Ovis aries: one gene and its partner. The protein of the gene in region 1 purifies or fractionates together with the protein of each later gene. This does not show direct contact. Links are inferred from orthologs where the notes say so. Each region holds a gene or a part of one and is shown in the gene's direction. Other genes may lie near its edges.

What was found.
Region 2: the proteins of BCL10 (region 1) and BIRC3 purify together in Homo sapiens (affinity purification with western blotting; 5 studies listed by BioGRID and IntAct, with this or other methods). This does not show direct contact. The link is inferred for Ovis aries from reciprocal best matches to the Homo sapiens genes BCL10 and BIRC3.

The regions. Positions count from the first base shown.
Region 1 is NC_056054.1:62,306,182-62,309,960, reverse strand, and holds part of BCL10 (B-cell lymphoma/leukemia 10), read left to right. Parts: intron 1-3,099; coding exon 3,100-3,388; intron 3,389-3,779. UniProt on the Homo sapiens protein: Plays a key role in both adaptive and innate immune signaling by bridging CARD domain-containing proteins to immune activation.
Region 2 is NC_056068.1:6,092,782-6,097,108, reverse strand, and holds the start of BIRC3 (baculoviral IAP repeat-containing protein 3), read left to right. Parts: upstream 1-1,362; 5' UTR 1,363-1,754; intron 1,755-4,327. UniProt on the Homo sapiens protein: Multi-functional protein which regulates not only caspases and apoptosis, but also modulates inflammatory signaling and immunity, mitogenic kinase signaling and cell proliferation, as well as cell invasion and metastasis.

The DNA.
Region 1 (3,779 bases):
GCTAAGTGTAGGATATACAGAGTTGAACAAAATGTGCCTGGTTCTTGCGTGCTTTTAACATGTGAGTTCTTAGGGTTGAAAACAAATGTATAATTTCAAATTATGGTAAGTACTGTGAAGGAGATGAACAGGTGCTGAGACAATAACAGGATAAGAGGAGAAATTACTTGAGATAGGATGTTCAGGGAAAGTTATATTTAAACTGATTCCTGAAGGATATGACCGAACTAGGGAAGAACATTCTAGACAGAATAGAATTTGCAGAGGATCTAATGCAGGCAAGCTGTTGAGTGTCTTGAGGTGAAGTTAGGATGGTAGGCTAGGGCCAGATTATAAAGGGTCTTATAGATGGTAGTAAAGTGGAATTTTCTTCCCAAGTGAAATAGAGACCTATTGAAGAATTTCCTCTGCCTAATGTATGGACTGGGGTGAGCAAAAGTGAGAAGAAGGCAGCTAATGAGGAGATTCTTGAATTTTATAGAGGTGAGAGATGATGGTGATTTGGATCAGGGTACAGGTAGTGGAGATGGATGGAACAGGAGAATTCCAGACATTTTTTAAAATAGTAGTAATAAGACTTGGTGATGATTTGAATGTATGCTCTGAGGAAGATAAATATCAGCAAGATTTGGTGGGTGGGTGGAAATGGAAAAGTCAAGGGTGGGTTGAAGGTTTATAGCTTGTTGAATAGATGGTGGTACTCCCAAGTGAGTTTACAACGTCAGAGGAAAAGGATAGGAGAAGATAAATTTGGTTTTTGGACATATTGAATTTCAAGTACCATTGGGATCTCTAGGGAGAGAGTCTCGATCACATAGCAAAATTTAGGGAAACACATGAGGTTTTCCAAGAAGTTCATCTTTTAAATCTGTTTTTCTCTCTCCTCATCCTGTCAGCTGAAATTCATGCACTCAGCATAATATATGTAAGATATGGCAGCAGTTGTCTAGTCCACTCTGACCCCAATTTTTGCTTCTCCCAGCCCTCTGTAAAACTTTTCTTATGGCTTCTTATTTATAAGCCTTTGATGAGGTTTTGGCTACAGGGAAATGTAATTTCCCCTACTACATACCTTTCATGCCTCTCGCTCAGGTGTGGCCTCTGTAAATTTCCCAGGTCCTAGAAGCAGAATAAATTGCTTCTCCACTACTTGACCTATATCTTTTTTTTTCTGGGTCATATTCCATTATCTCATAATTACTAACTTGAGTTAATAATGTATTCTTCAACTGGATTATGTGCCCTTTGATGCAGAATTTAAGTCTTGTTCATCTTTGCATATCCACTGTCAGCACTTGGCATATTAGGCATTTAGATATGTGAAATGTGTCTTGTGTGAATAAATAAATGTGAGAATTTAGTGGACTGAGAACTCTAGGAACCCCTTCACCTAAGCTACTTTTCTGCCACCATATACTGGAGTATTTTGAAGATTTTCCATTGCCTGTAGTTCATCTTTGTTAGTGCGAATCAAATTAGTCATGTTTGGCATCATCACTAATATTTACTTATCACTTATATGTACCAAGCACTTTTCCAAGTACTTTACACATGTTACGTATTACATATCTCATTACACTCAGATGAGGAAACTGAGGTCCAAAGGAGTGGAGTTACCAAGATCACATATCTAGTAAATGAAGGAGCTGTGTAATACAGCTGCTCACATCAAATTATTCATACCATTTATGGAGACCCAGATCGATTTTTGGCTAATTAAGCCTCATGAGGCACTTGTCATGGAGAAGGAAATGGCAACCCACTCCAGTGTTCTTGCATGGAGAATCCCAGGGACAAGGGAGTCCAGTGGGCTGCCATCTATGGGGTCGCACAGAGTCAGCCACGACTGAAGCAACTTAGCAGCAGCAGGCACTTGTCAGGTGTGCATGCATGCTAAGTTGCTTTAGTCTTTTCTGACTCTTTGAGACCCTATGGACTGTGGCCCTCCAGGCTCCTCTGTCCATGGGATTCTCCAGGCAAGAATACTGGAGTGAGTTGCCATGCCCTCCTCCAGGGGATCTTTCCAAACCCAGGGATCAAACCCATGTCTCTAGGGTCTGCATTGGCAGGCGAGTTCTCTACCACAAGCACCACCTGGGAAGCCCTTGTCAGGTGTAGGCCTGTTTATGTGATTTCTTTTTCTGTATTTCTTTGGTTTTTTTTTTTTTTCCCCCAACATCCACTGTTTCTTTCCTCCCATACCTTTCTACCTCCCAAGACTGAGTTAGATTATTGTCTTGCCAACTGACTCCAAAGACAGACACATTATGGTCCCCTTTAGTTTAGGCTCTTTCTTTTTCTCTCTCTCTTTTGGGGTTTTACTCTAGAAAGATGCAAAATTAATAATGAGAAAGTTATAAACCATGAGACCTCCCTAAGTTATCCTCTCTGGTCCTGACTAATCATAGATTCCTTACTAAATGGAAACTAAAATGTCCAGTAATCTCTGCTCTCATCTTTACCTCTGAAGGCCCTCAGCATACCTCTCATTTCCACAGACCCAAGATCGCTAGAAGAGACTGGCCCCCTCCTCACAATAGTTTGATCTTGGCTTACAGTTGTGGAGATGAGATCAGAGCAGGACGGAAGCAGTGAGGAATATCTAGTCGGAGAACTTCTATCTCTTTCCTCCTTCATCTTTTTTTTTAATGTATATAATTTTTTTTTTTTAATTTTTGTGCTGGGTCTTCTTTGTTGCACAGGCGTTTTTCATGTTGCCCCAAGTGGAGGGCTACTGTCTAGTTGTGCACAGACTTCTCATTGTGGTAGCTTCTCTTGTTAGGGAGCATGGGCTCTGGAGTTGTAGCTCCCAGGCTCTGGAGCACAGGCTCAAGAGTTGTGATGCACGGGCTTAGTTGCTCCACAGAATGTGGAATCCTCCCGGACCAGAGATCGAACCTGTATCTCCTGCATTAGCAGGAAGACTCTTCACCACTGAGCCACCAGGGAAGCCCTGTTCACTCATCTTAATAGCATGCCTTTAGTAGGGCTGAGCTTCCTGACTTCAGGGTGTTTTCTCTTACCAGTCAGATTCCTAACTTACCATCAGTCACCTGTATGACTTAGGTGTTACATTAAGCCATATTTTATTTCTTTCAGGCTTTAGAAAATTTGCGTGTATACCTGTGTGAAAAAATCATAGCTGAGAGACATTTTGATCATCTACGAGCAAAAAAAATACTCAGTAGAGAAGACACTGAAGAAATTTCTTGCCGAACATCAAGTAGAAAAAGGGCTGGGAAACTGTTAGACTATTTACAAGAAAACCCCAAAGGACTGGATACCCTGGTCGAATCTATTCGACGAGAAAAAACACAGAACTTCCTTATACAGAAGATTACAGATGAAGTGCTGAAACTTAGGAATATAAAACTAGAGCATCTGAAAGGTAAGATATCTTAGGTATCCAAAAGTTCATTTAAATGTAACAATGCTTTTGTAAGTAGAATGAAGAACAGAAAACCCAGAAATGACCATTTTTGCTTTTATTTAAAAAGTTCAAGCTTCAGCATTACATTTGATTTGTATCTTTTTAACCTTATTTGATTTCATTACATTGGAAAAGTGAAGTATCGCTCAGTGTTCTGTATTTCTGTTCATTAACACTACATTTTGGAGAATGCAGTGGCAACCCACTCCAGTGTTCTTGCCTGGAGAATCCCAGGGATGGGGAAGCCTGATGGGCTGCCGTCTATGAGGTCACACAGAGTCAGACACAACTGAAGTGACTTAGCAGCAGCAGCAACCCTGTATTTATAGAAAACAACCATAATGAAATT
Region 2 (4,327 bases), on another chromosome or scaffold:
AGAGGATGAGATGGCTGGATGGCATCACGGACTCGATGGACATGAGTCTGAATGAACTCCGGGAGATGGTGATGGACAGGGAAGCCTGGGGTGCTGCGATTCATGGGGTCGCAGAGTCAGACACGACTGAGTGACTGAACTTAACTGAACTGAGTAGTTCCTTAGCAACTACAACTTTTGTGTTTTAATGTTAAGTTAAAAATGTGCAGGGAAATATAGTTTTCCAAAACTATTTTGGTGGGTACATGATTATAAATATATATAAAGATCACAAAATTTTTTTCCACCATCTCACAGGAGAGTTGAAAATGGCTTATAAAATTTTCAACTAAGCAGGCTCAAAATGAATCGAAATCTCCACATAAGTAAACTGAATCTTTTTTATATAGTTCCAGCTGGAAATCTGCTATGGACAGCCAAATCAGCTAACACAGAAGATACCCCAGCTCATCCTGACTGTTCTGCATCCCTGTTTCCACAGGAGAGTGAAGTACTAAGTAACATTACAGTTCTGCCTTTAGTGCTTGGTATCTTTTTCTTGATTTACTGGAAGGCAGGAAAATCAGGTGAGCTTTCCCAATCTGTTATCCTGGCATGCACTGTCTTTAGATAAATGTGCTTAAATTGACTCCTTAGGCAGGAAATGTTGAGGAAAATATGTGTAGTGAGACTTGACTTCAGATTTCTATGAGGCTATCATGGCAGACATCTCCCCTGTGAAACTGAAGCCTACAAAGAGGAATTTGTTTTACAGCCAACTCCACCCTAGTTATAAATATAACCAATCAACCAGAAAAAAACAATTTTTTTCCCCACTAAACTAATATGGTAACCTTTTTTTTCAGACTAAAAATAAATTGAAAAGGAGAATCTTGTGATTTTTTTTTTTAACAAAACCCCTACATTTCCACTTATGCTTTACAATTAGAACAAAAAGTAAAAATAAATCAGAAAGCTTGCACAAAGTTTAATATTTTATTACGTGGGGAGATGCACCTTTTCCAGTCAGGCTGACCAATGATCATCTTGCCCTCTCACAGATTATGAAGATTTCCTCTGACCCACGAACAATGAAGTAAAGGTATTTCAGTAAATGCCACGTCGATCCGCCCCGGTTAAGAAACAGTCACGCTTTCTGGGTCATGGAAATCCCCGAGTGGGTCTGCCAGGCCACTGATTAAGGGGAAGTGTGTGTGGTTATTACCGCTGGAGTTCCCCTAAGACTTCAGAGGAAAGCACCAGCTCACAAGCAAACCGCTGGGAGGAGTGCGGGACGCGGGGAGCGAGGAGTGGGTGGGGAAGGGGCGGGGCGGGGTGGGGGTGGGGAAGACGGTTAAAAGGCCGCGGGAGCCTCCGGCCCGCCCCGAACGGCGGGGGCGACGGGTGGCGCCCGCCAGGTCTCGGCAGGCATATTTCTGGCGCGCACGGCGCCGGGCCGCAGGCCGGCGACCAGGACTGCGGTGAGTGAGCGTGCGCGTGCGCGCGACCCCCGGGGACGCTGCGCGGGAGGGGGCCGCCTCTGTGGCTCTTCCCGGGTCTCGCGAGCCGGCGCGGGAACATAGTGCGAGCCGGGCGGCCCTGACTGGCGCGGCCGCGCTCCTTAGGCCGGTCTCCTCAGGCGGGTCCCCGCCTCCGCCTCCGCCGCCCAGACTTGCCCTCCAGCTCTCGGGGCCGCCGGCTCCGGCCCTGCTTCGCCGACACTCGCTTTCCTTCCGCCTTCCTGCCAGGTGTGCAGTTCCTGTTTTCCTTTTTCCGTGAGTCAGTGGACGGGGGGGGGTGGGGGTTTGACAGTTGGTTTAATGGATGGCCGAAAGGTATCACTGCAGGAGGACATGGCGACCCACTCCCGAGTTCTCAGCTGGAGAATCCCTTGGACAGAGGAGCCTGGCGGGCCGCAGCCCATGGGGTCGCACAGAGCCGACTGGACTGAGCGACTAAGCCCAAGAGGTATCACTGGCCTCAGCCGGTGCCAGATGGCTTGGCCATAGTAAGGACTTAGAGTCTTTCATGGAGAAGGCAGTGGCACCCCACTCCAGTACGCTTGTCTGGAAAATCCCATGGATGGAGGAGCCTGGTAGGCTGCAGTCCATGGGATCGCGAAGAGTCGGACGCGACCGAGCGACTCCCTTTCACTTTTCACTTTCATGCATTGGAGAAGGAAATGGCAACCCACTCCAGTGTTCTTGCCTGGGGAGCCCCAGGGACGGGGGAGCCTGGTGGGCTGCCGTCTATGGGGTCGCACAGAGTCGGACACGACTGAAGTGACTTAGCAGCAGCAGAGTCTTTCGTTAATGAACAGATGGAAGAGTGTTCCCAAGTGGTGGCGGAAAGAGATTTTTGGTGTTTTCCTGATAATAGGCCTGGAAATCCTGTAGTGCTCTTAATCTAGTTATTAAAGTGCTGGAGATATTTACCTGATGCTAAAGGAAATGGCACCCTGCTCCAGTATTCTTGCCTGGAGAATCCTGTGGACAGAGGAGCCTGGTGGGCTGCTGTCCATGGGGTCACACAGAGTCGGACACGACTGAAGCGGCTTAGCAAACTAAGAGTAATATTAACTTTGTCATTATTTTTTGCCAACATTAGGTGTTTCTAAGACCTAGTCTACTCAAAGGCTCTCTCAAAAGACTTCATATGTGTCTTTCAGGTTTTTCACAGTCCTAGGGAGCAGTTGCCATATTTATCTCCACTGACAATGAGAAAACTCTGGGCTCAGGGAGGTTTACTTGTCCAACGTCACACCTCTGGTACGGGGACACTGATGAGTATTGGAAACCCAAGATGTCTGACTCCAAAGCCTGTACTAAACCATCACTTAGCAGACTTTGTAGTCATTAATGTAAAATTGATGTCCTTAATACCATGCAAATGAGGGTGCTGCGGTCCTTGAGGGGCTCAGTCAAGTTTGCTGACATTGACTTCTCAACAGAAACTCTTAGTGTCTTCATTGTTTGCCGGATGGGATGGATGTGTGGCTAGGAGGATTGATACAGAGCTGCTGCACAGTTCTGTGAAGGAGACTGCAGACTAGGGGGTGATGATTTAGTTGCTAAGTCCTGTCCAACTCTTGCGACCCCATGGACTGTAACCTGGCAGGGTCTTCTATCCATGGGATTCTCCAGGCAAGAATACTGGAATGGGTTGCCATTTCTTTCTCCAGGGGATCTTCCTGACCCAGGAATGGAACCCGGGTCTCCTGCATTGCAAGCTGATTCTTTACAGACTGAGCTAGAGACAAAAGGCACACTTAACGTCCAGTATCAGAGACTTGGATGTGCTAAGTGTCCAAGAGGAAGACATATCCAATATCCCTGGCATCAGGGAGGTTGCCCACTAGAAGTGAAGAGTGAGAAGAGGCATGATTGGGGATGAGCCAATCTGAGAAGTAACCACTAGAAAGGAAAGAGGAATTCCGAGAGAGAAGCCAAGGAACTAGAACATTTGTTAGAGGAAGTGGGCCCCAGTGGCAGGTGTGAAAAATTCCACTGGTTTTGGGAAAGAAGCCATTGGTGTTACTCATATTGAGAGTGGTTTTCCCCAGGCATAGAAACCACTACCAAAAAAGGAAGAAGGGGGAGGGATAAATTAGGAAGATAGGATTGACATATACACACTACTCTCTCTGTATATATAAAATCAACAAGGGCCTCCTGTATAGCACAGGAAACTACTCATTTGTAATAAACTATAAAGGAAAAGAATCTCTGTATCAGAGTGCCAAATGGGAGAGCATGAACCCTCCCAAAAGGGTGCAGCCATGGCTTAACACTAGCTTATTGTTGCCATCCAGAAATATATGCCTGGCACAGTGAGATCTTTGGATATTTTTATGAGAGCATTGGGATCTAGAATGTCATGGGAAATCTTTTACTTTTTTTTTTGGCCCCTCCACGTAACATGGAGGATCTTAATTCCCTGTCCAGGGACTGAACCCTTGCCCCATTTAGTGGAAGTGTGGAGTCTTGACCACTGGGGAAGTCTGGAAATCTCTTACTTACAAAAAGTGTTGGTAATTAACTAAAACATTGAAAAAATACAGTGATATTTTTCCAGGAAAAATCTTACTTGGAAGGCTGGTGGAATTCAAATGAGGCATACAGATTAATTAATAGCACTGTTTCAGTGTTAATTTCCTGGTTTCTGTAGTTGTACTGTGGTTTTATAAGATGCTAATTTGGAGGAAGTTGAGTGCAGGATATGTGAAAACTCTTTATGTTTACGAATTTTCTCTCTTTATAAGTTAATTTCAAAGTAAAAAGTTAATGAAATGCTGGAGTCTAATTCTGTGCAAGCCAGCCATAATACCTCTGCTGGCCACCAATCTGAG